Arabidopsis thaliana: one gene and its partner. The protein of the gene in region 1 purifies or fractionates together with the protein of each later gene. This does not show direct contact. Each region holds a gene or a part of one and is shown in the gene's direction. Other genes may lie near its edges. The genes, in order: VLN3 and ALATS.

Region 1 (13,635 bases):
GAATGCTATGATCGCTGGGTATTCCCAGAATGAGCATGACAAGGAAGCGTTGTTGCTTTTCATTGGAATGGAAGAAAGTGCTGGGCTTCTGGCTAACTCTACCACAATGGCAGGTGTTGTTCCTGCTTGTGTCCGTTCTGGTGCGTTCTCTAGAAAGGAAGCTATCCATGGATTTGTTGTGAAGAGAGGTTTAGATAGAGACAGGTTTGTGCAGAATACACTGATGGATATGTATTCTAGGCTGGGAAAGATCGATATCGCCATGCGGATATTCGGTAAAATGGAAGATAGAGATTTAGTTACGTGGAACACGATGATTACGGGTTATGTATTCTCAGAACACCATGAGGACGCACTTCTCCTGCTACACAAGATGCAAAACCTTGAAAGAAAAGTGAGCAAGGGGGCTAGCCGAGTTAGTCTTAAACCTAATTCCATCACTCTGATGACAATCCTTCCCAGTTGTGCTGCACTATCAGCATTAGCAAAAGGAAAAGAAATTCATGCTTATGCCATCAAGAACAATTTGGCAACTGATGTGGCTGTCGGAAGCGCTTTAGTTGACATGTACGCAAAATGCGGGTGCCTACAGATGTCGAGAAAAGTGTTTGATCAGATTCCACAAAAAAATGTTATTACTTGGAATGTGATTATAATGGCTTACGGGATGCATGGAAACGGTCAAGAAGCCATAGATCTGCTAAGAATGATGATGGTTCAGGGAGTAAAACCAAACGAGGTTACATTCATCTCAGTATTTGCAGCTTGTAGCCACTCAGGCATGGTGGATGAAGGATTAAGGATATTCTATGTTATGAAACCCGACTACGGGGTTGAACCAAGCTCAGATCATTATGCTTGTGTTGTAGATTTGCTTGGAAGGGCTGGTAGAATTAAAGAAGCATATCAACTCATGAATATGATGCCTCGTGATTTCAACAAAGCTGGAGCATGGAGTAGCCTCCTTGGTGCCAGTCGGATTCACAATAACCTAGAAATTGGAGAAATTGCTGCTCAAAATCTCATTCAACTGGAACCAAATGTAGCTAGTCACTATGTGTTACTTGCCAATATTTATTCATCAGCAGGCCTCTGGGATAAAGCAACAGAGGTAAGAAGAAATATGAAAGAGCAAGGCGTGAGAAAAGAACCTGGATGTAGCTGGATTGAGCATGGCGATGAAGTACATAAATTTGTAGCCGGTGACTCATCTCACCCGCAAAGCGAAAAGCTCAGTGGATATCTCGAGACATTGTGGGAGAGAATGAGAAAAGAAGGATATGTACCTGACACATCTTGTGTACTCCACAATGTAGAGGAAGATGAAAAAGAGATTCTGCTTTGTGGACACAGTGAGAAGCTAGCAATTGCGTTTGGGATACTTAACACATCACCCGGTACAATTATTAGGGTGGCTAAAAACCTCAGGGTTTGTAATGATTGTCATCTTGCAACCAAGTTTATCTCAAAGATTGTTGATAGAGAAATCATCTTGAGAGATGTTAGGAGGTTTCATCGTTTCAAGAATGGAACTTGCTCCTGTGGAGACTATTGGTGAAAGATAAGCTCCATAAAACTCTCTTTTTTCTTCATTGTATATCTTGTAAGTGTTGATTCTTGTATAAGTTATACAGTATAACACACAGTTGAACACACTGATCTTAACAAAATTATTAGTATTAAATGTACTTATTGGTCTCTGTAGTCATTAAGAAAATAAATTAGATAATTTAATAAACTAATCAGCCTTTAGTTAATATGTACCTTTTCCATCATGTGATGGTTTCTCTGGTCCTACAGATCTGCTCTTTAGTTGTTGTCTCTTTGTACATAGAAGGATAGATGAGTGATGTGGGCATTGTTGTAGTGTTTCAGTAATCAAAACGTAAAGAACAAACAAAGGAAAAAAAAAAAATTACTAAGAAATTCCCAAAAGAGGAAGACATTGACCTCGCAGCTCAACGAACGACTTCGCTTTCGCAGTTTGCATTGAATTGAAGCATAAGCAACCTCCAAATTCCGACAACAACCGATTTCCTGCAGAGAGAGTCTCTCTTTGTTTGCCCTGGATAGGAAACCTACACTACTCTTTGTGATTTGATTTTGTTATCTGAATTCAGAGTCTTGCTTCTGGGTTTTGGTCTGGGTTTTGGAGGTTTAGTGCTTGAATCTGATGTTGGTTCAAGATCGTGTGGCTCCTAAGCCACCAAAATCTCGGATCAGAGAACTTCCTAGTCGGGACCGATTCGCTGAACCCAAAATCCTAGATTTCTCTTCATGGGTTTCCGACAATGTCTACAGAATCGTAATCATCTTCCTCTTCATCGTCACCGTCGCTGCTTTCTTCTTCCTCTACAACACCACCGACACTGCTTCTCTCCTCTGTTTCCAATCCCAATCAACTCAATCTCTTCAATCTCTCACTCGCCCTCAAATCAACTGGAACTCGATCCAAATCGTCTCCGACAAAACCTCACCTTACGCTAGTTTCCGTACAGAGAAATGGATCGTTGTGTCGGTGACAAAGCACCCAACAGAGGAGCTCAAAGGTTTGGTCAAGATTAAAGGATGGCAAGTTCTAGCGATCGGAAACTCTTTAACACCTAAAGATTGGAATCTCAAAGGTGCGATTTTTCTATCTCTAGATGCTCAAGCTGAGCTTAATTACCGGATTTTGGATCATTTGCCTTATGATTCCTTCGTACGCAAAAGTGTCGGTTACTTGTTTGCGATCCAGCATGGTGCAAAGAAGATCTTTGATGCAGATGATCGTGGTGAAGTGATTGATGGAGATCTTGGGAAACATTTTGATGTAGAGTTAGTTGGAGAAGACGCTAGGCAAGAACCAATCTTACAGTATAGTCACGAAAACCCGAATCGAACTGTGGTGAATCCGTATATCCATTTCGGGCAACGATCGGTTTGGCCTAGAGGTTTGCCATTAGAGAATGTAGGTGAGATCAATCATGAAGAGTATTACACTGAGGTTTTTGGTGGTAAACAGTTTATTCAGCAAGGGATTTCCAACGGTTTGCCGGATGTTGATTCCGTGTATTATTCCACTAGGAAGACGACTTTCGAACCGTTTGATATCAGATTCGATGAGCATTCTCCTAAAGTGGCGTTGCCTCAAGGTATGATGGTGCCTGTGAATTCGTTTAACACATTGTACCATTCCTCTGCGTTTTGGGGGTTAATGCTTCCTGTTTCGGTTAGTTCCATGGCTTCAGATGTGATTAGAGGTTACTGGGGACAAAGGCTTTTATGGGAGCTTGGTGGTTATGTTGCTGTTTATCCACCAACTGTTCACCGGTATGATAGAGTCGAAGCTTACCCTTTCTCTGATGAGAAAGATCTCCATATCAATGTCGGTCGTTTGATCAAATTCTTGCTTGCTTGGAGATCAAATAAGCATAGGTTCTTCGAGACGATTCTTGATTTGAGCTTTGTTATGGCTGAACAAGGGTTTTGGACTGAGCTAGATGTGAAATTCACAGCTGCTTGGCTCCAGGATTTGCTTATGGTCGGATACCAGCAGCCTCGGTTAATGTCACTTGAGTTGGACCGCCCACGAGCAACCATTGGTCATGGAGATAGAAAAGAGTTTGTTCCTAGGAAATTGCCTTCGGTTCATCTTGGGGTCGAGGAGATAGGCACAGTGAGTTCTGAAATTGGGAACTTGATTAAGTGGAGGAAGAATTTTGGGAATGTAGTGCTTATAATGTTCTGTAACGGACCTGTGGAACGTACTGCTCTTGAATGGAGGTTACTTTATGGGCGGATATTCAAAACCGTGGTCATTTTGTCCTCTCGGAAAAACTCAGACCTTTACGTCCAAGAAGCTAAACTCGATCACATATACAAGTAATCAAGGAAACTTGCATAGAATCTCAGTTTCAACCTATTCTTCCACCAATGTGAGCTTTCTAACTGTAGCTCTGTTATATCCATTTCAGGCGGCTACCGAAGATATTTGATCGGTACAGCAGCGCTGACGGATTTGTGTTTGTTGAAGATGATACAGTTCTTAATTACTGGAATTTACTTCAAGCTGACAAAACCAAGCTCTGGACTACAGACAAGGTACTCATTCAGTAGCTAGTTGTTCAGCATAAATATAATAGTACCAATTGGATTTTAAAAAATGTTTGGTTTGAGGAGTTATGGTTGGATTCGGTTTTATGACAAAGAGTCCCTTTTTTAGGTAACGGAGTCATGGACAACGGTGAGACCAGCCGGGAACTCGGATTGGTATTCGGTTCAGGCGGAATTAGTCAAGAAAATTGTCAGTACAATGCCGGTTCATTTCCAAGTCAATTACAAGGAAGCCACAAAGAATAGCGATGGCACAAGCTTAACGATGTGCAGCTCGGAAGTTTTCTATGTCCCTAAACGCTTCGTCTCAGACTTTACAGATCTTGTTAATCTCGTTGGTGATATGGATTTGCATTACAAAGTTGCTGTGCCTATGTTCTTCCTATCGATGGATTCGCCTCAGAATTTTGACCCGGTTCTAGGCTCAATGGTATATAAGTCAGAACCAGCTTCGCTAAACTCTTCTTTGAGTTTGTATTCAGCGGAAGCACCTGCAGTTCATCCTTGGAGCATCTCGAACGAACAAGATTTCATTAAATTGGTGAGGGAGATGGCGGAAGGTGATCCGCTATTGATGGAATTGGTATAATGATGAGTCAAAACAAGAGTAAGTAGCTGCAGCGATGAAAGGATGTTTAGAAACAGATTTACCATTTGTGTTATACAAAAAAATGCTTCATTGATTTTTTGGTTCTCTTGATGTAATTTCTCCATGTAATTCGTGATGTTTATAACTTTCTCAGTTAAAATGTTTTGAAGAAGAAAGGTCACTTGCAATCGTGAATAATAATCACTTTGAACTAGACGGTGTTATTGTGACGCTTATACTATGCGCATTGCTCTGACGGCAAAACATTGTTTCATCCAACACACAACAAATGGTCAACGAAGTGAATAAAGGTTTTTTTTTTTGGAATACATTTTATCCAAGTTAAATTAATCCGTTTTACTTGAAATAAAAAAAAATCCGTTTGAGGTTGAGAAAAGAAATTAAATATTCCTATCCCACTTGGAGTACTGAGTCGAGTAACCTTATCTTCTATGACCCAAAAATAAATAAAAAATCACGTCGTTGTCATCTGCTTCGAACCGGCAACATATATTCAAAGTATATGGATTATTTTGACTGCATGAGTAATGAAAGCGACCAATTTCTAATTTTTTCTTTTGAGTTGTCATTGTATTGCCTTCATGATGAGTTGGCTTTGCTTCTTAATATATACTACTACTTTTCTTATAACGCATCATTTATTTTCCAAAAAATAAACGATAGTGGTATTTCGTAAAATATTGATGAAACAACTCTGAGGTTAGCAAAAGTATATAATATTGGTTGAGGTTAATTGGTCGGCACCGGCGTAGATATGGTGACCGCCATCATTCTGCACGTACGTAATATTCTACTTCTTTTCATATGTCTAAAAGGAATATATAGACACACACTAGAAATATAACGATAAATACCAAATAAATGAGTATATATATATGAGTATATATATATATAAAAAGATGATCAAAATATCGAATAATGTTGTTCCATATATATATGATTGTTTTCAAGATTTCCTATGATTGTAGTAGATCCCGTAAAAGGATTAGTGTATTTCTATGATGATACTGAAAGTTTTCATATGCATAAAAATGTATCCTTTTAAAAGAGTTTGTTTGTGTCTATTCACATGCGAAATGGACCCAATGTCGTCGTCTTGAAATGATGATGTTATTAAAATTACTAATAATAGTGTGCATTTTGTTATAATATGCTTCAAACTTTTTCTTTATCCTTTTATGTTCGATCTTTAACATCGTCTGCCAAGTTCAAACTCAGCATGTTTTTTTTTTGTTTTTTTCAAAAGGCTCAGCATGATTTCTTAATTGTGAATAGTAAGAGAAAACATGAACAAACCAAATTGTTGAAACTGACTGTTTTCACCAATCACACATTTATCATGTATGAGAAATTCCAATATTATGCCATTTAATTACTCTGCAAAAATTATTGACAAATTAAAATTCACTTTATGGTTAAATTAAGTTTATCTCTTTGGTGCATTTTGTATATATATATATATTTTATAATTAATCTCTCTTTCTGCCTTAAAAATAAATCACAGTCTCGCTCGCGTCTTTCCTCAAACCTCTCTGTCTCTTCTTCTTCCTCGCCTCGTCTACGCAATAATACTACTCTTATATCACAAAATCTCCACGAAAGGTTTGTATAGAGATGCTATAACATAGCACACATCTCCTTTCAATAATTCGCTTTTTCCTCTCTCTCTTCTTTTTCATGTTTTCTTGTTCCTGATCTCTCTCCATTACTTTTTTGCCCATCTCTTTGTCTTCCTCAGCGCTACTCGAAGATCTGTCTTTTCAGGTATGATGGGTTTGTTTGGATCAGCTGATTTCGATTCAAATTAACGTTTTTTGGATCTCTCTCTGGTTGTTTGTACTTGAATCTGAGTTTCTCGGTCTGCTTTGTACTTGCTGATCTCTGCTTTAAAATTGATTGTTTTCTTCTTTTGGTTCTCTGATTATGTGGTCATGCATTCATCAGCTTACTTTAGTATTTCTCAAAAGTAAGGCTCTATCCGTTGAGAAACAAGAACGAACAAGTTGATCATCGGATTATTTTCTGACCCGAAATTCAGTTAAAAGTAAGCTAAGACAGAATTGAAGTTTGCGTTGATCTTTAAACCAAAACAAGTGGTGGATTCGCGAGTGTGTACCAATATTACTGCAAAGTTGGATCACTGTTTCAAGTCTTGGACTTTCATTGTGAAAATGGTTGAGATCCACATGGAATTGAAGGTTATATGTAGATCATTCTAGAGCCTGACTACTGTAGTTTAATTGATTACTTCGATTATTTGGTGGCGGGAGATGTTTGCCAGAAGGAAGGTTTGATTCAGTAATCATCGAGGCTGATCTTATAAGAGTTATTTGCATTTCCTCTGCTTCTCATGTCTAGAGATGTATATTCACAACAGAGCTTATAGCGATACATGAAACTCCGAGTGATAGCCAGGCTCAGTTTTGAACCCCTTGAATTACTTTCCCTGAGGAACCATTATTATGAATGATTTCCAGATAATAATGAATTGTGGGAGAGAACTGAGTACTCAGATTGTTGCAGAGTTAATATATTGCTCAAACATGCTTCTACGTAATACTGTATATTCTCTCATATATGATTGCCATTTAGAAATTCAATTATAAAAGCTAGACCTTTGTGTTGCTCTTTAGTGTTTTTTAGGCTCCTATCCAAGCGCCAGTTTCTTCTTATAAAACAATCTCTTACCTTCTTATTTTTTATGCTTGCTCTATGTTTTTGGCAGGTCGTTTATGTATTTTCTCTTGAAGGAAGAGATTAGCCACTAATACAAAATGTCTGGGTCAACAAAAGTATTGGATCCTGCGTTTCAAGGAGTGGGGCAGAAACCGTATCCTTTCAAAAAGTATTAGATCTCAAGGGAAGCAATATAATTGTTTCCTACAGAGAGGAAGATGCTATTTGTTGTTGCTATCTCTTTTGTATGCACCAGTTTGCTGGTAATGTTAAATGTTTTACTGCTGTCTGAGATGTTGAACTTTAACATTTCTTAGAGGTACTGAAATCTGGAGAATCGAAAATTTTGAGCCAGTCCCAGTACCAAAGTCTGAACATGGAAAGTTCTATATGGGAGATACCTACATTGTCTTGCAGGTTTTGATTTTTTTCACTCTTCTTCTCCCCTTTTTATAGACTCTTATCAAGAATAGATAATAAGATATTAGCTTACAGAACAGGACAACATGCTTTCTTGTCTGATCATATGTATAAAATATATGCTCCTTTATTATCTTTCACATTTATCATGATTAGCTTTCATATGTGCAGACCACACAGAATAAGGGTGGCGCTTATCTATTTGATATACATTTTTGGATTGGTAAAGATACAAGCCAGGTATTTATTTTTGGGCATGATAGCATATATTACGTTCTAAATTTGAATCGTCATTATTACTAATCTGCGATTGATAATTCCAGGATGAAGCTGGAACAGCAGCTGTCAAGACAGTTGAACTTGATGCAGCTCTTGGAGGCCGAGCTGTCCAATATCGTGAAATTCAAGGTCATGAATCTGACAAATTCTTGTCTTACTTCAAGCCTTGCATTATACCACTAGAGGGTGGTGTTGCGTCTGGATTTAAAAAACCGGAGGAGGAGGAGTTTGAAACCCGGCTGTATACCTGCAAAGGAAAACGTGCTGTCCACTTGAAGCAGGTTTTCTTTGCTGCAGATTTTTAGAAGTGTTACACTCTCTTCGCATGAGTGTTTAATATGTATATACTTATCTCTTTTCTTTTGTAGGTTCCTTTTGCACGCTCATCTCTGAATCATGATGATGTGTTTATCTTGGACACCAAGGAAAAGATTTATCAGTTTAATGGTGCAAATTCAAATATCCAAGAGAGAGCTAAAGCGTTGGTAGTCATTCAATATTTGAAAGACAAGTTTCATGAAGGAACTTCTGACGTTGCTATTGTTGGTAAGTTGTATTAGACGCATTACAACTAATATTTGAATATCTTCTTTTTCACGTTTTGATCAGTCAATCAAGCAGCAGTTGGATGCTCAATCAATTTATTGCGGTACTCATGCATGTATAATAATTTCCTTGCATAACAGATGATGGAAAATTAGATACAGAATCAGATTCTGGCGAGTTCTGGGTCCTCTTTGGGGGGTTTGCTCCAATAGCAAGGAAAGTTGCGAGTGAGGATGAAATTATTCCGGAGACAACTCCGCCTAAGCTTTATAGGTACTTGTCTCCCTTTTGATCTGCTCTATTGGTTTTCAGATGTTTTCTGCTTTAAACAATGTTGTAAACACTTAATAGTCATTTGTTTTTATGTATTACTCGTTTATGGATGTTGATTTATAGTTGCCCTATTTTAGTATCGCTGATGGTCAGGTGGAATCTATAGACGGCGATTTGTCCAAATCTATGCTAGAAAACAATAAATGCTACCTTTTGGACTGCGGTTCTGAGATCTTTATCTGGGTTGGCCGAGTAACTCAAGTGGAAGAGAGAAAAACTGCTATCCAAGCTGCTGAGGTAAAGCTAGAATCGTCTAACTTGCTTAGCCTTAGAATATCTGAGGATTGGTTCTCATTTTTACCTTCCTCTACAGGATTTTGTTGCTAGTGAAAATAGGCCAAAGGCAACACGCATAACCCGTGTTATTCAAGGTTATGAGCCCCATTCTTTCAAGTCTAACTTTGACTCTTGGCCATCAGGCTCGGCAACTCCTGCTAATGAAGAAGGACGAGGAAAAGTCGCTGGTAAAGATTGCTTTGATACTCTAAATTATTAATAAAACAATGAAAGATCTCTTATCCCTGACTTACTTTGGTACTTTTCCTATTGTCTAGCATTACTTAAGCAACAAGGTGTTGGGTTAAAGGGCCTGTCAAAAAGCACACCAGTGAATGAGGATATTCCACCATTGCTTGAAGGAGGTGGAAAGTTGGAGGTCTGTTCTGTCTTCTGACTTGTTGTGCTGTTATTTGCTCAATCTAATTGGTTATTTTCATCCAAACTCATTAAGCTCATGTAACAGGTTTGGTACATTGATGCCAACTCCAAGACTGTTCTATCCAAAGATCATGTCGGAAAACTTTATTCTGGGGACTGCTATCTGGTCCTTTATACCTACCATTCTGGTGAAAGGAAAGAAGACTACTTCTTGTGCTGTTGGTTTGGAAAGAATAGTAATCAGGTAATCACGTGAAAAGGTGCATCTTTGATATTTTTGTTCATATAAAAAGGAAGTCCCTATTTCTTCTGTTAGTATTTTCAGCTCTTTTAATAACTGGAAAGAGGATAGTAAGACATAATGTATTGACAAAGCCGGCATGTTTAGCTTCTTCCTGGTTTGTCTTGTAAGACATTTTATAAGTAAGATTGAAACTTGGTTGGGTCTATAAGATGTTTCAAAATTCATATTTGTAAATGTGCTGCAGTTTTACTCTTTAGCTATTGAGGGATGCTGTTAGTATTGTAGTTTATTGTTATGAGTTGTTGCCTCTCAACTTTTGACGTGGTGGTCAAAGTTTGGGTACATATTGTGGTAGATTTCATCTAATCATTTTTTTCAATTATGTATATATTTGAACATGTTGAATATTTAGCCATCTAAATTTTGTTTTCTCCCGAGTTTAGGAGGATCAAGAAACAGCAGTTCGTCTAGCGAGCACAATGACAAATTCGTTGAAGGGAAGACCAGTGCAGGTACCATGTTTTGTTATTGTAAGTAATGGCCACTAGCAGTGAAAGATTGTTGAATAACTTGATCTTCTTGCAGGCCCGTATATTTGAGGGTAAAGAGCCTCCACAATTTGTTGCACTTTTTCAACATATGGTTGTCCTTAAGGTATTTCTTTTGATTGTTAATACAGAATGCTTGTTGCTGCAAGAAAATGTATTGGTAATTGATATAGTTACACTAACATTTAGGGCGGTTTGAGCTCTGGTTACAAAAATAGTATGACAGAGAAAGGTTCGTCAGGCGAAACCTACACGCCGGAATCAATTGCACTTATTCAAGTATCTGGAACTGGAGTTCACAATAATAAGGCTCTACAAGTTGAAGCGGTAATTTTCTACCTTTCTTTATCTCTTGCTAAGTGCTTTTTCTACCTTACACTGTTCAAAACTTGGCTGCCTATTCGTGTAATGTTAGAATTTGAAATTGATGCCTAGATGTTGTTTAGTTTGTATTAAGAATACACAGGTCTGCGATTGTCTGTGACATTTGTGCAATCCTTTCCGCAGGTGGCAACTTCTTTGAACTCCTATGACTGCTTCCTTCTGCAATCGGGTACTTCCATGTTCCTTTGGGTTGGAAACCATAGTACGCATGAGCAGCAGGAACTGGCTGCTAAAGTTGCTGAATTCTTAAAGGTAGTTTCTAATGGTGTTATCTTTGATTTTAATTTAGCTGAAATTGTCCAAGTAGGAATGGTATAATTTTTATTAAGCTTTTAAATAAAAACTCACTCGTACTTCTTATCACTTTTCTGTAACTGGTAAACTTAATCATCTTCTTTCTTGCTAAGTCAGCCTGGGACTACTATCAAGCACGCAAAAGAGGGAACAGAGAGCTCATCCTTTTGGTTTGCACTTGGGGGAAAACAGAACTTCACCAGCAAGAAAGTTTCCTCTGAGACTGTCAGGGATCCTCACTTGTTCTCCTTTTCCTTCAACAGAGGTAATTAAAATCAAGACATCAATTATGAGGGTCAAAGCATCTAATAGGGTCATTTTTGTTGTTGATATACTTGCATATTTTAACTTTCTCATTCTTCTTTTCATGTGTCTGCATGGATCCTCAGGAAAGTTTCAGGTGAGAATTTAGAAAAATATCCAACGTTTTTTTATCAAGATGTGTTGCATGTTTTAACATATTACCTTGCACAGGTTGAAGAGATTCACAACTTTGATCAAGATGACCTCTTGACGGAGGAAATGCATTTACTAGATACTCATGCTGAAGTTTTTGTCTGGGTTGGTCAATGTGTGGACCCTAAGGAAAAACAAACTGCCTTTGAGATTGGCCAAGTAATATGCCTCATCAGTTTTGCTTCTCAGCATAGTGATTCCTCCTTCTTTTCTCTCTTGTTTGCTCATTGTACAGTTTTGCGCAGAGATACATAAATCTGGCTGGTTCGCTGGAAGGCTTGTCTCCAAAAGTTCCATTATACAAAATCACTGAGGGAAATGAACCGTGCTTCTTCACCACTTATTTTTCATGGGATTCTACTAAAGCTACTGTAAGGTTTTCTGTTCGCAGATATCTTTTGGTTTATTAGTATGAGAAGGGGGTCCCTTTTTTTTTAGGGTGGTAGTTAATGTGATTGTGTTAGAGAGGGTTTGGGAACATACTCATTTAAAAGCAATCTTGTATGCAAATACCAATTCTGTTTTCAGCACCCTTATATAGAATGCAGTTAGTGATCACATCTCTTTTGTTAAAATGACCTGTAGAATATATAAAACTGAGGAAGCTCTGCGTTTATAGAGGAGGAAAGATTTACATTTAAACTGAGGGGAAAGCTGCCAGAACACACGACATTAACTCTGATTGTCATTGACTTTTCGTGAACTTCCACTTCTTTGTCTCATTAAATTTAGTTTTGGTATGTTTACCTGTCATACAGGTGCAAGGGAATTCCTACCAGAAGAAGGCAGCATTATTACTTGGTACACACCACGTTGTGGAGGTAAACACTTAGTTATGATGCTTACTGGGGAAAGTTGGAGATACTACATACCTGCGTATTATGTTTCCTTGCTTTTGTGTCTAATCGTAGCAGATAAGAACATATGTGACGATGGAAGAAACTGTTGTTGATGCCTCTCCTTTGTAATATATTATATTACATCCCTGGAACGTTGGTTTATAATTTACCTTCTGCTGCAGGATCAGTCTAGCAGTGGGAACCAAGGACCAAGGCAAAGGGCTGCTGCTTTAGCTGCCTTGACTTCTGCCTTTAATTCTTCTTCTGGGAGAACAAGCTCTCCGGTAAATAGTCTTAAGCTCATTATTTTATGTTTCTACTAGATTTTTTTGGATACATATATATACAAAGATATTGGCATATCATGAAGGAAAAAAAAAGGCTCTGGGACTCATTTCTGGGGTTCCCATTCATGAATCTCTCAGAGTTACGCAAACCTTTGAGTTGCAATCAAATAATTTCTCAAATCACAGCTACTAGTGTCCCATGTTCTTGATATGTTGACTTAGACGCTCATTTCTTTAACTGCAGAGCCGAGACAGATCAAATGGAAGTCAAGGGGGTCCAAGACAAAGGGCTGAAGCTTTAGCCGCCTTAACATCCGCATTCAATTCTTCACCATCATCAAAGTCACCTCCCCGAAGATCAGGATTGACAAGCCAGGCGTCACAAAGAGCAGCAGCAGTGGCTGCTCTTTCCCAAGTTCTCACTGCTGAGAAGAAGAAATCACCTGATACCAGCCCTTCTGGTTAGTTCTTCACCTGATACCAGCGCTTAAACTAAATATCGTGAGCTTGTTTTTCGTTTTTTGGCCTTGGTTTGATTACGCTAATAACTGTGAGTATGTGTGGTTATTACAGCTGAAGCAAAAGATGAGAAAGCTTTCTCAGAAGTGGAGGCTACCGAAGAAGCTACTGAAGCCAAGGAAGAAGAGGAAGTGTCACCTGCAGCAGAAGCGAGTGCTGAGGAAGCAAAACCAAAGCAGGATGATTCTGAAGTAGAAACAACTGGAGTAACTTTCACCTACGAACGACTACAAGCCAAATCTGAGAAACCCGTGACAGGGATTGACTTCAAACGCAGAGAGGTGAATCAAAATTGAGCCGATTTTGTTCTTTTTCTTTCGTCTTAATTTGAGCATAAGTTGTCAGTATCTTATTCCTCAAACCAATTTATCAGGCTTACCTGTCTGAGGTAGAGTTCAAGACTGTATTTGGGATGGAGAAAGAATCATTCTACAAATTGCCTGGATGG
Region 2 (16,955 bases), on another chromosome or scaffold:
AATCACCGATTATTATTCATAACATTAAAAAAAAACTTATAACTAATATTATAATAATTAACGTCAATTTCAAATTATGAAACAAACTATATATTTTCTAATCGTTTCAAAGTGACACCTAGCAATATCTATACAAACGTTTTAAGAAATGATACTAACAAAAAGAAATGATGTTAAGTGGGTGATTGGTTCGTCGGTATGTAGTTATAGATTTATTACTATAAAATTTTTGATGTAGGTGTGATGACTGTAGTCGTAGGGTTTATTGTTGTAAAAATTAGGATGTATATTTTATTGATATAATATAATTATTTAAATAAATTAGTTGTAGAAATAAGATTTTGATAGTATGTATTTTAAATAAAAAAATATTATTGGTAAATTATACTTTATATAATATTATTCCCAATTATCAATGTGAGTTATATATGTCATAAAGTAGGTATTTACCTACTATTTATATCCATATAACTAAATTTAATATATATATATATATAAAATATAGTAATATTTTTAAAGAAAATAAAAAAATAAAGTGAAAAAAAAAATAAAAAAAATATAGACCTTCTAAAAATCTTAAAGTTATGCTGTAGAAAAACTTGCACTTACAGCCAAAATAATTAAAATATATATATAAATATATAGTATTTGGGGTGTGAGAAAAAAATAGGAAAGTTAAAACATGATTGTTTCAATATTGATTGTAGGTTTTTTAGTGGCTTTATAAATCTTTTACATCCCAACCAATCATGTTCTAAGATTGAATTATAGTGTCATTTGAAAAAATGATACTAAATATTTTTTACCTTCACTAGTTTTAGTATCTCTTTTTAAAATGACTCTATAATTCGAGCATCATTTTAAAAATGATATTAAGATTTTTTTTTAAACTGATGTTAAACTCATCAATTTTGTAGTGATATCATTAAGAAATCTTAAGCAAAAGGAAATGGTTTCAAATTCACAATAAAATAAGCAAATTTATATATCTTTAAAAGATGACGAAACGTTAACGTCCATCAACCGAACAGTTAATTTATGTTTGCTACTATTCGTTTATTTAATTTAATTTAAATTTTAATTAAATTTATTATTTATTTCTTATTTACGATTAATTAAAAATGACTAATATGATAATAATTTATGGATACGGTAGTTTATACATTTACCCGTGCATGATATATATCAAACGATTGTAAAACTTCCCAACCGCCAAAATCATACTTGCTTGCACACGAAAGCATATTGCAGACGTCTTCTCTGCTATATGCGTCCGCGTTTGCTTTAGGCTTGAAGAAGAAATGCAAAGCACGTGCATGTAAACCCCCACCTCCAAGTAAAATTTTTAATTTGTTTCGGTTACTGTTTCTCTCAAAGATGTAACACCTAAATTGATTCAACAAGGGTTTTAATAGGTTTGATCCGATGTTTAATGTTTTTAAAGTCTCTGTTCGAGATTCTTCTTTTGGTGAGAAAGTGGCTACACTTTGGATTGATATAATAAAGATGAGCATATATAGCCTCCAAAATTTTGTAGGCATTTCAGAAATTTTTCGGATCATAGGAGGAACATGTATGTACCTTTTAAGTCTCATCATTAATAATTCTGTGTTTCATATTTTTACTGTGAAAATGAGAATGACTAACGATTTTATTTATCTGATTTTGGCATTAATTAACTTATTCAAATTGCTTTTCAGTTTTCATTGTGACATTAGTTCTTTATGATCTTATCATATGTTTTTTTTTTCTTTGTTCAGGACCAAACCATTACGTGATAATGAAGATAAAGCATTGGGACCGGTGGCTAGCATCTTTAAAAGACGACGATTACCTCAAGAATATTGAAGCTATCAAACTTTATCTAGCCGTCATGTCAATATATGTAAGTTCATTATATATAACTTGTCATAGAAATGGCGTAACAAAAGTTCCGGAAATCACTGTTTATTTGTTTGTTTGCAGGAGCCGGATTTGTTGGATGAATATATGATTGATGATGATTTCCATCCCATGATCTCTCGTCTCAAAAATGTAACTTTAGATGTAACCTCGGCTAGGTTTAAGGAACTATACATTACTGAGAGGTAAGAAATTCTCAGCTTATTATATTCTCGATTCGCTAGAACAATTCAGGATTTAACTTAGCCTCGAGTGAATATTAGGCAATCCGTTTGATTACCATCTGATTTCAGGATTTAACTTAGTCTCGAGTGAATAGCAGAGAAGACTTCTTCAATCGAACATTAGGCAATCCGTTTGACGAACATTAGATTATATGATTTTTGACTTTTTCGCTTGTAATTTGATTTACTAGTTCCTTATAATTAAGAAAACACTTATGGTGGCTTCTAAGGAATTAGTGTTATGTGTTTTAGCCAATTAGAACTAAAAACCATAATTTACATAAACTTTTAATGAAACTAAGAGATTTTGCATGGCCAGTAGTACAACTTCCAAGGATCTGGTGGTAGTTACCTCTTAAAAGAAACTTCTACTCTTTCTGCCATATGACTGCGAGATGTATCAATGTACTCAATGTTCTTCTCCGAAGTTAAGAAGTTAATGATTCGATGGATCCGATAGATTTACCCAAATCTTTTCCAAAATTATTGTAATCTTGTTTTTACCTTTTTTTTGTCAAGATTACATTTGTTTTAGGTACTCCAATATGTAAGTCCGAACTTTCATTTATATGAATATTAACATTTTAGCAAAAAATGTTAAGAAAATCTGAGCTTCATTTTGATGCCTTGAATCAATAACTTTCTTTCCAAGTTACAATGCCCTCTTGCCATTTTCCGTTTCGGGAGTATTAAGGAAATTATTAAACAATCTCCTTTTTTCCGATAAGAAAAATTTCTATTTTGTTAACGGAAGAATTGGAGTCCTTTTCTCTTGTATTTTCCTTTCTTCTTGGGTTAAGCCTCCTATAAATATGTTTACATCTAAGAACACGAAATATAAACAAATTTTCTTTCTACTTGCAAAAGATCTAGGGTTAAAATTTTAGCAAGATGAATTATGCTAGAGATGAACTAGACGGGGCTATGATCATATCAAAGACTCTAACAAAGAGTGACATTGTTGGTAATGTGGCATTACCAAAAGCGCAAGTGATGTCTGTCCTCACGAGGATGAATGGTGTCACAGATGAGGGTTTGGACAACGGTTTTGAAGTGCAAGTCCACGACATAATGGAAGACGATCTGTACACAGTTACCCTGAAAAGAATTGACGACATGAAGTATTATTTCGGGACTGGTTGGAGTACTATGAAGCATTCATTAGATCTCGTAGAAGGCGATGTTCAGAAGCTCTATTGGGATCAGTTTGAAAACAAATTCATTGTTCTCAATTTTCAGCATAAGACTATGGGAATAATGATTCCTGTGTAGCTTGCTTACATCTATCTTCCTATATTTAGTTGCTTTAATTACTTATGTTTTCGTTTTCATATTTTAATTAAGTGTTGGTTTTTTGTTTGACCTAATTTTTATGTTGTAGTTGTTAAATCTAATTTAATTGAAATATCTTGAATTTCAAGAGAGCAAGCTGCATAGCTGTTTCTTTTGTTATATTTCTTGTCATCTCTTATAATTACAAAAAAAAAAAAGTAACATTGAATCGAGTAAAATATATCACAATCTCAAAAACATTGAATCGAGTAAAATATACACTGAATCTCAAAAATATATAGGATTGAAACCTTTTTCTTCTTAGATCACACAATACGAGTAATCATGAAAGCACCAACGTTAGTGTGAGAGGGAAATAAGTTTTGACTGATCGAGTTGTTGGTTCTACACATGTGACTTGTGTAGGGAATTACGGTAATTCAATTACCAGAATTTTTTCATTGGTAGAAAGCTTTTGATGCGTTGGTGTGTTGAATATGGCGTTTTGATAGAAATAGAACTTTATTTCCTCTCTTTCTTCTCTCTCAGGTTTATACTTATTGGTTCAGATAGACCAGAGGAAAGGTTTTGCTTAACACACAAGAAAACCTATGTCAGAGAATTCCAAGCATCTTTCTCCCCCAGATATCATGCACAATGAGGCATATATTCCTTTTCAAGAGCCGCAACTCCTCTCCAAGCTGTACATGTTCGTCCCGCAAGTTGAGTATTCTCTGATTCTCATCATTGTAGCTGAGATTCAGAAAATCTCTTACCAAACATGTCTCCGTCTACAGTCTTGAGAAACATATCCCAAGCAAACCTATCGAAAATGACACCTTACTTTTTGGTGATGGAAAATCTGTTTGGCGAAAATATAAATCATTCATCAACTTGGACGTTATCTTCACGGAACTTCCTGCTTAACTCGGAGCTTGAATTATTCATCCATTCAAATCGTTGCATGTTTTATTGTATCAATTGATGGTGTTTTTTAAAGTTCTTTTTAATTTGTTTGATGAGAACATAACAGATTATTTGTTTAGTTTATATAGAGGTGAGTATTTAGAATTCTTTTTCTTTTAGGATTAATAATTAATTGTAAAATTAATTCTTTATTGTATTTTATATAATAAAATGGTATATTTTTTAAATCCATTATTCATATTCTAGTTTAAGTGTTCGGTTTTTTCTTTCTATTACCCTAATTTCTGTTGTAGTTTTTATTTAATTGGAATACCTTGAATTTCAAGAAAGCATGCATAGAATGTTTTTGTTTTTTTTTGCTTGTGTCGTCTCTTACTATTGCAACATATGCAATTAGCATGTTCTTACTTCCATTGCTACTAACTCCATTTGAAACATATGATTTGATGTTCTCATATACTCTTTGCCACTCGTTCCATGTACTTATCATTGCCAGAAATCCTCCAAGAACTGTTATAGCTAGAGGTAAACCTCCACACCTTACAATTATCTGCTTCCCAATCTCCTCCATTTTCTTAACCAACATTGGCTCTGCATATCAGGTGAATAAGTGTGTCAAGTATGATAGTATATATGCTGCAGAAAGATTAGAGCCTAATGATTACCTATATTTTCTCTTCCAGATAATGAAATTTTCTCCAACAGCTCCCAACTCTCTTCACATGTTAGCTTCAATTGTTGCTCATGAAGCACACCCCTGGGATCAGCATATAAAGCGACCAATGCTGCATATTGAGGTTAGCTTCTCTTTTGTTCTCAAGTTTGTCACCATTGTAAATGAGCAGCTGGAAAAGAAACAACTCTTAAGGGATATGCGGTACGCAGTTGCTGCAACTAGGGAGTTACTTCCGTCGTTGATGAACGACTACTAGTTTTCTGTGTCCAAATACTTTTCTGAATCAGTTCATCCGAGATCTTTTTTCCTTCTGTAAAAATAATAATATTTTTTCTTCTTTTTTTGCAGATTTCTTCTTATATCACAAGTATTCTCTATGGCTAGTCTCTTATTATATGCATCTATTTTGTCTACTGAAGACATAACTTGCAACATTTCTTGGAGTTTTTGGTCTTGATCAAGTATGTTTTTTCTGCCTCTCTGTGATTGAAACTGTGTTCTTTGAAAACTGGACTCAGATTGATTTTAGATGTGAATGACTCTAATCGAATTAGTACTGGTTCTTGTTGATGTATCTGACTTTCATTTTTAACTTTTTATTTCTTACAGGTTCATCCAGTTATCATCTGTAGCTGGATATGTGAAGTGTCTTCTTGCGAACTTATGTCTTAACTTTGAAATACTTTGAATAACGATGATAATTTGGAGTAATGATGGTAATTTGATCAAATTGTGTTTGGCTTTTTGGTGTGTCCATTTGCAGAGATATATTGCTTTTTAATAACGAGAAAAATGTTATTTAATACCCTAATTTTCAAATTATAACCGTTTTATACGTCAACTTTATATATGGTCATTTTAAACATGATGTTATCGTTGACCACCATTTAAACCATGAATATTTCGTTGACCAGGCCAAAAAAAATAGTCGTTAACGGATTATTCAACTCCCGTTAACACCTCCGTTAACCATTCTAAACGATGTCGTTTTCGTTACTATAAATCATGTTTTACCCTTTTATAAGCTTTTAAAATCCCTTGTAAATCATTCCAATGCCACTTACTTATGCTTAAAAAAACATTGTAAACCATGCTAGCCCTTTTTAAAAATCCTTGTAAATCATTTTATGCCACTTACTTATGCTTTAAAAACGATGATAAATCATGTTTTACCTTTTTATAAGCTTTTAAAATCCCTTGTAAATCATTCAATGCCACTTACTTATGCTTTAAAAACGATTGTAAATCATGTTTTACCCTTTTATAAGCTTTTAAAATCCCTTGTAAATCATTCAATGCCACTTACTTATGCTTTAAAAACGATTGTAAATCATGTTTTACCCTTTTATAAGCTTTTAAAATCCCTTGTAAATCATTCAATGCCACTTACTTATGCTTAAAAAACGATTGTAAACCATGCTAACCTTTTTTAAATCCCTTGTAAATCATTTTATGCCACTTACTTATGCTTTAAAACGATTGTAAATCATGTTTTACCCTTTTATAAGTTTTCAAAATCCCTTGTAAATCATTCAATGCCACTTACTTATGCTTAAAAAACGATTGTAAATCTTGTAAAACTATTGTAAAAAGTTTTAAAATGATTTACAAAGGTTTAAAAAGGGGTTTTAAAGTATTTACCTATGTTTTTAAAGACTTTATAAAGATTTTAAGAGGTTTTAAAATGATTTACAAGGGTTTTTAGCAATTACCAAAGATTTTAAAAAACTTTACAAGGTTTTTTAAAAGAGTTTTTAAAAAATTTACAAGGATTTTTAAAAGCATTTTTTTTGCTGGGAAACAAAATTTACGAGAAAAAATTTTGGCGGGAAATTTATTTTTGGCGGGATTTTTTTTTTTTTGGCGGGAAAAAAAGGTTTGGAGGTGTTCTTCAATGAATAGGGGTGCTTGATGAGGCTTGTATTAAATGGTAGAAGTCCATGGAGAAATCGAAGTGTTCAAAATCGGAGGTGTTCTTCAATGGAAGCTTTACTATGGAAATGTTTTGTTTCGTTAAAGATGAAGAAGAAGAACTTTAAGCGTATATAAGTATCTGTGTTTGTATAGAATGACAGAGAAATCTTTGCAGGTAGAGTGGTCAAATGACCTTTGATTTTTCTCAAATGATAGGGGTTCGAATCCCAGGTCTGTCATTTCTTTTTAAAGAAAAACGAAAACGACGTCGTTTAGAATGGTTAATGGAGGTGTTAACGGGAGTTGAATAATCCGTTAACGACTAATTTTTTTGGCCTGGTCAATAAAATATTCATGGTTTAAATGGTGATCAACGATAACTTCATGTTTAAAATGACCATATATAAAGTTAACGTATAAAACTGTCATAATTTGAAAGTTGAGGTATTAAATAACATTTTTCCCTTTTAATAACTGTAACCAATATGTAACAGAAATCCATCCAACCCAATTTGATCAATAGCGTAAAAACTCATTATTGTTATAAAATTTTAGGTAGTTTACATCAAAATAATATCATTCATTTTTTATACTATAAAAATAGTATTTAGATTAATATTTAACAAGAATAAGAATAATTTTTATATATAGATCATATCAATCCACATAATAAAAAGAGAAAAACTCAAATATGAAAAAAATTCAAGTAACAAAAATATATTAGAATTACATTTGGTTGATTGGAAAAAAAAAAATTACGTGTAAAACTATAGTATTATCTGAGAAACGAATACAAAAATTTGCAACAGTAGCAGCAAAACAAATTCAAAACTTGCGGCAACGACAACAGCAACAACAACAACGAAACAAACAATAACATGCGAGGCAGTCTCACGGCTAGTGGCAGCAAACCCAACAGTTTATCTAAACGAGAACCAAAATTTACTCTCGTTTTTTTTTTAATGTTATCCTTTGATGAACAAAATGTATTTTCCAAATTTTACTTTTTTTATTTTTTAAGTATTATCCCTTAAAATAATATATCTTGCGGAAAAGGAATCGGATTAAATAAATTTTAACGGTAGAAAATAGGATAGGAGGAGAGAGAGAAGGTCTTTTATTGGTTTGAATGAGATTAGTGAAGGCAGCTTCTCTTCTGATTTCTTCAACCAAACCTCCGTCTAGGGTTTTTTACTCTTCCCATCTCCGCCGCCCTTTTTTCTCTCACTTCCGTTTTTCTTCCTCTTCGTCGACGTCTTCCTCCGTCGCAGTCATGCCGGGTTCCGAACCATCGGAGACTCAGTGGCCAGCAAAGAGAGTCCGGGATACTTATGTCGATTTCTTCAGAGGCAAAGGCCACAAGTTCTGGCCATCAAGCCCCGTTGTTCCTCATAATGATCCTACTCTTCTCTTCGCTAACGCTGGTACGATAACTTCGATTCCTCATATCTGTTTTTGCCGATAAGATTGGGAATTTGTCCAAGTTGATCTATGGAATTCAGATTCTATAGAGTTGACTTATTCTGTCTTCTTTTGTCTTTGAAGCTTTGGGACTTATTCAAATTTCTCAATTTCAGTTTTGGTCGAAATTTTCTGATATTGATACTGAGCTATGTAAATTAAGTTCTCTTGATATGTCTGGCGAAAAATAGAATTATTAATGACATTGAAACTTCTCTGTTTTTCAAGGAATGAACCAGTATAAGCCAATATTTTTGGGTACGGCCGATCCAAATACTGAGCTTAGCAAGCTATCTCGGGCATGTAACACCCAAAAGTGTATTCGTGCTGGTGGAAAGCATAATGATTTGGATGATGTCGGCAAAGATACGTACCATCACACCTTCTTTGAAATGCTTGGTAACTGGTCCTTTGGAGATTATTTCAAGAAGGAAGCTATCGAATGGGCTTGGGAGCTCTTAACCAAGGTAATTAAATACCTGGGAAATTTGTCTCTGTTTACTTGATTTAAGAAAAATATACATGGTATTATTCAGTAAACTATTGTCTCCCTCCCTTGGGACGGTATGTCTCAATTTTGTTAAGTGATTCTTCTCTTTTCATTTGGTTGTACATTTCAGTTTTGTAAAGTGATTCTTCTCTTTTCATTTGGTTGTACATTTCAGTTAGATACCTTGTGACAGTATTTCATAATTTTGTAAAGTTACTATTCTCTTTTCGTTGAGGTTGTTTATTTCATTGAGGTTGATACCTCCCTGTTTTCATGCCTCAGGTCTATGGGCTACCGACTGATCGAATCTACGCTACATATTTTGGCGGTGATGAGAAAGCTGGCCTTCAACCTGATAATGAGGCTAGGGATATATGGTTGAAGGTTCTTCCATCTGGACGTGTGCTGCCATTTGGTTGCAAAGTATGTATTGATTATTTAAGATAATAACTTTTAATCTGTTACCTAATTTTTTTGAATCCACTACTCATTGATTTCCTCTCTCCTGAGGTTACTTCACAAGTACTTCAGCTAAGTTGCCTTTGTATTGTCACCATTGTTTCTTGTATATATTGACACATCTGTTTGTCAATGCTAACGACAACCAACTGTAAGCTTGAATGCATTTTGGCTAGGAATACGCTATCATGTTTGGTAGTTGGCAGGCTTTAAAAACCATTGTTTATGATTTACAGTCAAAATCTTGTACAAAATGTAAAACTTAAGGGTTTTTAAATGCTGTTTTTCTTTCATTTAACTTTTGATTAAACTGCAGGACAATTTCTGGGAAATGGGCGACACAGGTCCGTGTGGACCTTGTACTGAAATACATTATGATCGCATTGGTAACCGTGATGCTGCATCCTTAGTTAACAATGACGATCCAACATGTTTAGAAATATGGAATCTTGTCTTTATTCAGGTACAAACCCTCTCTGTCCCAATTGTTATTTAGTTCCATTTTACTAATCTTTATCTCAATATCACAATTGTTTTAATGATTTTGTAGATTGTGTTACTGAAAACTCTATATTGTGCAGTTAGCTAGATTGTTATTGCTCCTTTAGCTGTGCTATCATATTCCCAATTGTTTCCTCTGACTGGGATGTTACTTATGTCTTCAAAATAGTTCAACCGAGAAAGTGATGGCTCGCTAAAACCTCTGCCTGCTAAGCATGTTGATACCGGGATGGGCTTCGAGAGGTTGACTTCTGTTCTTCAAAACAAAATGAGCAACTATGATACAGATGTGTTCATGCCTATCTTTGATGACATCCAAAAGGTAATTTGTGAAAACTTCTGTTGATGGTTTCATGACAGCTGTTTAATGATGGTTTCATTGAGTTATTTTTGTTTGGCCTCCTCTTAGGGACGCATTTGTCACCTTAATTAGTACTATCATCATTTTAGTTCATCAATTTTGAAGTGGATCATGGGTTCTATGCTTTACGTCGAGACTCCGTCAATTGTTTTTGAATATTTCTGGTTTATTGAATTTGGATTTCATGATAAAGGCATTCTACTATGGGTATCCTGGAGATTATTCGTTGTTAGCTGTGTCACTTTTCATGTATTTTTCTTAGTGAGAGGATTGAAAAAATCTTCAAATTGCTCTGTTTACCCTAGTTGTTGCGAATCTTAAGTTTAGGTGTTGATGCTTTCACTTTTTTAGGCAACGGGAGCTAGGCCATATTCTGGAAAAGTTGGTCCGGAAGATGTTGACAGAGTTGACATGGCATATAGAGTGGTTGCTGATCATATTAGAACCCTATCATTTGCAATTGCGGATGGCTCTCGTCCTGGTATATACTTGGTTTCTTGTCTCAATCACAATTGTGGTGGTTACAGAAAATACAATCGTCTTAGTATTCAATCATTTATTTGAGTTCATACTTATATGTTCTCAGAAAAAGTGTTTTTGGTTCATTTATTCTAAGTTGGGCATGATGAGTTTGTCAATTTTCTTCCTCAGACAATCTGTTATGTTATACAAATAGAGGTTTGTTATTTCTTGTAGTCTAACAAGTACCAATTAATATACTATCTCTTGCAGGTAATGAGGGCCGTGAGTATGTTCTGCGGCGTATTCTTCGTCGAGCGGTTCGCTATGGAAAGGAGATCCTAAAAGCTGAAGAAGGATTTTTCAACGGGTAGGAAATTATGTTTGATTTTCGTTGCATGTTTTGTTTGAATATTGTTTCAAATATTGTTTCGTTGTAGCTGGAACGTTTATTTCTGTCTTGTATCTTTATAAATGAGCATATTTTTTTGACACATGTTTTATCTCGGGCTTTCATATTACCTGTAGGCTTGTAAGTTCTGTCATTCGGGTGATGGGCGATGTCTTTACAGAGTTGAAGGAACATGAGAAAAAGATCACAGATATAATTAAAGAAGAGGAAGCAAGCTTTTGCAAGACCTTGGCAAAGGTAAGGGCTGGATTTAATTTCCGTCAAAGCTTTGAACCTCTTATCTTATTTTGTTTTGGGTTCTTCTGGCTCGTCGCACTGAAGTAAAAGAGACAGTTCACAGCTTCAATCAGTGGCATGTGATATTTCTGTATAGATTGTTTCCAATTTCATCATTGTTCAGTTTTAATGATGGTTAGACATAATTATAGTATTTTCTATAGGGAATCTTTTTTCTGAAAGATGAATTGGCTTTACCTGGTCGTTCCTCCCTTTTTTATGTGAATAGGTGGTGAGTATAAGAACAGTTAGACTGATTATAAATTTTCACGGCAGGGAATTGAGAAATTTCGGAAAGCTGGACAGGCGGTTCAGGGGAATACACTGAGTGGAGATGTACGTATCGAATCATTTTTGTGATGTATGTTAGGCGTTGCAGTATTTTCATCTGGGATGTTTGAATTCTATCTCAACATGTTGTCTTCTCTTTGCAGGATGCTTTTATCTTATGGGATACATATGGTTTCCCGTTAGATTTAACTCAGGTACGTAAGTCATTTATACTTATTTCTGAATGTTCGTGTTATTTTCTAACTTTTATTCTCGGGGTTCAGTTGATGGCTGAAGAAAGAGGGTTACTGGTTGATGTTGATGGTTTCAACAAAGCCATGGAAGAGGCGAGGGAAAGATCGAGAAGTGCCCAGAATAAGGTGTTTCAACTTTCCTCTTGTTTACTTTCTTAAAGAGCGTTTAATGCCAAACTTACGTGTGACTATGAACGAAGTTTGCAATCACATCATCTATTAACCAATCTTTTAATGTCATTTTTTTATAGCAAGCTGGTGGTGCCATTGTTATGGATGCTGATGCTACATCAACATTGCACAAGGCTGGTGTTTCAGCAACAGATGATTCTTTTAAATACATTTGGTTCCAGGTTTGTCCTTTTATTCCAGAAAACTTGCATGTTGCACCTGAAATGTTCTTATGTTGGCGTAGAAATGAAGAAGTTAGGGCATATAATAGTAAATGGATTTTGCTTTAAAGAAACCTTTATTGGTACTCTGCCACATATCGCTGCAGGACCACGAGAGTGAACTAAAGGCAATCTATACTGGCTCTACTTTCCTAGAAAGTTCAGCTGCTAGTGATAACGTGGGACTAGTATTGGGGTCTACAAGCTTCTATGCTGAGCAGGGTGGTCAGGTAATCCATTTTATTTGATATGTATTTTAGTTTGCTAATTGTTTTTCATTTCTGATCATATGACTGGTGGCATGAAATTGCAGTCTTCAGTATGTTCATCTTGGATTTGTATATATATACAAATGTAGACATGGCAGTAACACCATGAACACAATCATATCAGAACTGCATTGTTTGAATTTATGTATCGGCTGGCAAATACCATGATATAGTTATTGTTGGTTTTGCATACTAATTTCTGAAGTTGTCGTTGACAGTCACATAAATATTTTTAGATTTCATATCCATGAACAAGGTTAAGCTTTTGATTCACTTCCAATCATCTATATGTATATAAACTCTGTGCCTCTAACATTTTTTCTCTGGCAATAGATTTTTGACACTGGACTTATAGAAGGCTCGTTTGGGACATTCAATGTATGCAATGTACAAATATTTGGGGGCTTTGTTCTTCACATTGGTTATCTCTCTAAAGAAACTGGAGAGGTATCTGTGGGTGATAAAGTGATTTGCAAGGTAACTCTCTGCATCAAACAGTGTTTGTCTCATTCACCATATTTGGTACTATCCAATTTGTTTCCACCTTCGTTTTCATGCGTATAGGTTGACTATGAGAGGCGTAAACTCATCGCTCCTAATCATACTTGCACACATATGTTGAATTATGCCCTGAAGGTATCCCTTTTCTATAATTTAAGTAACCTAAACTGTGATTTTCTAATTTTTTCTATTGGATCTGAAAATATTCATGTCCCATGAATTCAGGAAGTGCTCGGGGATCATATTGATCAGAAGGGATCAATTGTTCTTCCTGAAAAACTGCGATTTGATTTTTCTCATGGTACATTTTTGAATAAAGTCATTTTTATTTTGATGTGGATGGTCATCTTAATTGTCTGATGGGTTCCATAATTTCGAGTAGGCAAGCCGGTTGATCCTGAAGATTTGAGAAGGATCGAATCCATAGTGAATAAACAGATCAAGGATGAATTAGATGTGTTTTCCAAGGAAGCTGTGCTTTCTGAAGCCAAGCGCATCAAAGGTCTAAGAGCAGTGTTTGGAGAAGTAAGCTGTCCATCAGTTCTGTAGCTATACCTTTTTAGTTTGGTTTCTAAGAATTGTTAAAGCGTTCTCTCTTACTCTTTTTAGGTCTACCCCGATCCCGTCAGAGTGGTGTCAATTGGGAGGAAGGTTGAGGATCTCTTGGCTGATCCTGAAAACAATGAATGGTCATTGCTTTCTTCCGAGTTTTGTGGAGGTCTGTTTCCATTGGCATTAGCTATTGGGACCAAGATATTACGTTCTGAATAGAATGTTGAGTATAGGGTTATTTTGACAATTCCAGGAACCCACATAACAAACACCCGCGAAGCCAAAGCATTTGCTCTTCTATCGGAGGAGGGAATTGCTAAAGGTATTCGTAGGGTAACTGCTGTGACTACTGAATGTGCTTTTGATGCATTGAATGCGGCGTCCTTACTTGAAAGAGAAGTAGAGGATGCCTCCAGAGCGGAGGGAAGTGCATTGGAAAAGGTTTTCTCCCTCTCTTTGTCAAACTATTGACAAAATGAAGACGATGTCGTTACTTGGATTCACGTAAAACTTATTGTGTTTGTATTTGCACATTCACAGAAAGTTTCTGCTTTGAAAAGCCGAGTAGATGCAGCAATTATCCCAGCAGCTAAAAAGGCAGATATTAGGACTAAGATTGCTTCGCTTCAGGTTATAAGCTCTTTCAGCCTTACAGTCAGCAGCTTTGTCTAGATTTCCCTGTAATTTTGTAATCAAAGCAATTCTGAAGTGGCAATTATTGTTTTCCTAACTTCGCAGAATGAAGTAAGAAAAGCTCAGAAGAAAATAGCGGAACAAAACCTGAAAAAATCTGTCAAATTAGCAACAGAGGCAGCTGAGTCCGCAGCATCAGATGGGAAGACTTTCTGCATAATCCAGCTGGATGTGGGTCTTGATGCAGCAGCTGTGCGAGAGGCCGTTTCAAAAGTCATGGAAAAGAAGGTAATCCGTATTTTCTTACATCATCACTTGTACCATAACCTGTTCATAGATAGCAAGAAAGTTAAATTAACGTTTCCGTTTGATTAACCTTGCAGGGTATGTCGATAATGGTGTTCAGCACAGATGAAAGCACAAACAAGGCGGTTGTGTGTGCAGGAGTGCCAGAAAAATCAGACCAGTTTAAGCCGTTAGACGTCACTGAATGGTTGACAACTGCATTGGGTCCTCTAAAAGGAAGGTGCGGGAAAGGGAAAGGTGGTCTTGCATCAGGGCAGGTATGAGTCCTATTCTCTTTAGTCTACAATGTGATAGTATCATCTACAAAGAGATGTTAAATCTTCAACATGTTGTTTTGGTTTTAGGGAACGGATGCTTCTCAAGTGCAGGCGGCTTTGGATATGGCTTCATCATTTGCATCAATGAAGCTCAACTGATTTGGTCGGGAGGTTACATAATCTGTGAGGTCAGAATAACCTCTACTTAATTTGCTTTCATTGTACACCGTTTTACACATGTTTTAAGAATCTGTTAAATTTCTCTGTTCTTGTGATGGAATTTGTGGTATCACACTCTTTTAGTCAAAGTTACCAATGGCTGTTATAATCCCTTGTGAAATGATCCTTTCCCGTTTGCGTTGAAATGGTTATTTAAAAAAAAAAAATAGGATTTGGTATGGACTGGTCGGCTTTAGTTACCAAAAGCATAAAACTGAATTGATTTACCTAAGTTCCTTTAAATTTGTTTTGGATTGACTGAAAATGAATTGCACATTTCTGAAAACAGTGATATATATGTTACTAGTAGATAAAAAACTAAATCCTAAAATCCTAGACTAAAATATAGAGAAATAATTTCAAAAGACAAAAACGTTTCAATTCAATAACTCATAAGAAAATAACGAAAAAGTGTAATTGGGACAGCAATAGTAACTCAAGTTGGCAGATACGAGTTAGCTCCTGCCTTTATTATATAGCTGGCTGAAAAATAATCATTACAAAGTGGGTAAGGAAGTCTATCTCTATCTCTAAAGCAAGAGAATTCATAGTTGAGAGATTCTACAGCCATGGACGGAAGCAAAAGTAAGCCCTTGTGTCGTATGTCTGATCTAGCAAAGCCTCACAAACTTGGCCGACGATTTGATCCACCGCTCACCGTTTGCATCTCCTGCAAAGGCCAACAATACACTGGGAATAGGCGTGGGTACTATTACTATTGTGCTACTTGTGATTTGGAATTCCACAAAGGTTGTTACTTGTTTCCTCCAGAAATCAAACACCCTTTCCACCTCATCCACCCTCTCACCCTCACCTTCTTAGATCATAATCTTGTTAGCTCTGCGATCCCTGAAATTTGGTTTCTGTTAAGCACGGAATATCCATACAAGCATATGTTTGGAGATGAAGAAGAATGTGCTTCAGATGGGAATCATAAAAGATGCAACTCTTGTCGGAAAAAGATCACATACCGCGACCCAGACTATCCTTCGTTTTTTGATATAACATATTATCATTGTTCTATCTGCAATTTCAGTCTACACTCTTCTTGCGTAAAGGATTCACCACCTCATACTATTGAAAACCTAAAAAGCCATGAACACACTCTTACCCTCTTTCCTAGACTACTCCCTTTGCCCTGTGATGCTTGTGGTTTTTCACTTGACGCTCGCAATGATTCAGTTTACTCTTGTTTGCTTTGTAACTACATGGTACACAGAAGATGTATCTACTTACCTCGTGTCATTAAGATCACCCGTCACCAGCATTGACTCTCTCACACTTCCTCAGTTGCTGTTCCTTCTGGTGATGAGCTCTCTTGTGGTGTTTGTCGCAAACTCGTTGACGTCAACTACGGGCAATACGCTTGCAAAAAGGGATGCCACTATGCTGTCCATTCGAAATGTGCAACAAAGAATGAAGTGTGGGATGGTAAAGATCTTGATGGAGTGCCTGAGGAAGAAGAAGAAGAGATTGAGCCATTCGTGAGGATTGACGAAGAGACAATACAACATTTCAGTCATGACCATCACTATCTAAAGATTCATCATGGGAATGACAACCATGAAAACAAGTTTTGCCAAGCTTGCATCCTTCGGATAACAGTTTCGGATAGCTTCTATAGCTGTGTACAATGCGATTTTGTCATCCACGAAACATGTGCAGGCCTTCCTCGCATAAAACACCATCCACTACACAAACACCCGCTCACCCTCTACCATTTACACTATCCTCATCTCAACGAGGTCCAGTCTAAATACTATGACCTAGGTTTCTTCGCGTGTAGTGGTTGTAGCCGAGAATGTTGTGGTTTCATGTACAAGTGTTGTGAAAAGGATTGTGACTTTCAACTAGATGCAAGGTGTGCTTCGCTTCCTGATCCTATAATCCATGACTGCCATCCACATGATCACCCTCTCTTCTTCAATTTGACCGAAGGTGAATGCATGGTTTGTAAGATTACATCCG

What was found.
Region 2: the proteins of VLN3 (region 1) and ALATS fractionate together in Arabidopsis thaliana (co-fractionation; one large-scale study listed by BioGRID). This does not show direct contact.

Annotation. Positions count from the first base shown.
Region 1 is NC_003074.8:21,243,654-21,257,288, reverse strand, and holds the start of VLN3 (villin 3), read left to right. Parts: upstream 1-6,129; 5' UTR 6,130-6,307; exon of another isoform or gene 6,308-6,443; 5' UTR 6,444-6,469; exon of another isoform or gene 6,470-7,430; 5' UTR 7,431-7,479; coding exon 7,480-7,535; intron 7,536-7,698; coding exon 7,699-7,798; intron 7,799-7,972; coding exon 7,973-8,041; intron 8,042-8,124; coding exon 8,125-8,361; intron 8,362-8,448; coding exon 8,449-8,626; intron 8,627-8,766; coding exon 8,767-8,899; intron 8,900-9,036; coding exon 9,037-9,196; intron 9,197-9,272; coding exon 9,273-9,423; intron 9,424-9,513; coding exon 9,514-9,614; intron 9,615-9,701; coding exon 9,702-9,860; intron 9,861-10,303; coding exon 10,304-10,372; intron 10,373-10,445; coding exon 10,446-10,514; intron 10,515-10,597; coding exon 10,598-10,735; intron 10,736-10,915; coding exon 10,916-11,044; intron 11,045-11,203; coding exon 11,204-11,351; intron 11,352-11,475; coding exon 11,476-11,486; intron 11,487-11,560; coding exon 11,561-11,701; intron 11,702-11,787; and 15 more. Other genes in the region: OTP84 (Tetratricopeptide repeat (TPR)-like superfamily protein), read left to right, coding at 1-1,558; AT3G57420 (transmembrane protein, putative (DUF288)), read left to right, coding at 2,174-3,864, 3,957-4,083, 4,205-4,684. UniProt on the Arabidopsis thaliana protein: Binds actin and actin filament bundles in a Ca(2+)-insensitive manner, but severs actin filaments in a calcium-dependent manner, regardless of the presence or not of VLN1 (AC O81643).
Region 2 is NC_003070.9:18,589,401-18,606,355, reverse strand, and holds ALATS (Alanyl-tRNA synthetase), read left to right. Parts: upstream 1-7,876; 5' UTR 7,877-8,044; coding exon 8,045-8,339; intron 8,340-8,604; coding exon 8,605-8,843; intron 8,844-9,148; coding exon 9,149-9,289; intron 9,290-9,641; coding exon 9,642-9,788; intron 9,789-9,995; coding exon 9,996-10,148; intron 10,149-10,538; coding exon 10,539-10,668; intron 10,669-10,919; coding exon 10,920-11,016; intron 11,017-11,174; coding exon 11,175-11,295; intron 11,296-11,610; coding exon 11,611-11,670; intron 11,671-11,768; coding exon 11,769-11,819; intron 11,820-11,888; coding exon 11,889-11,984; intron 11,985-12,109; coding exon 12,110-12,211; intron 12,212-12,357; coding exon 12,358-12,480; intron 12,481-12,852; coding exon 12,853-12,996; intron 12,997-13,083; coding exon 13,084-13,155; intron 13,156-13,245; coding exon 13,246-13,321; intron 13,322-13,402; coding exon 13,403-13,545; intron 13,546-13,629; coding exon 13,630-13,738; intron 13,739-13,825; coding exon 13,826-14,013; intron 14,014-14,112; and 9 more. Other genes in the region: AT1G50220 (B3 domain protein), read left to right, coding at 1,781-1,885, 1,966-2,087, 3,014-3,398; AT1G50190 (Cysteine/Histidine-rich C1 domain family protein), read left to right, coding at 15,557-16,178, 16,278-16,955.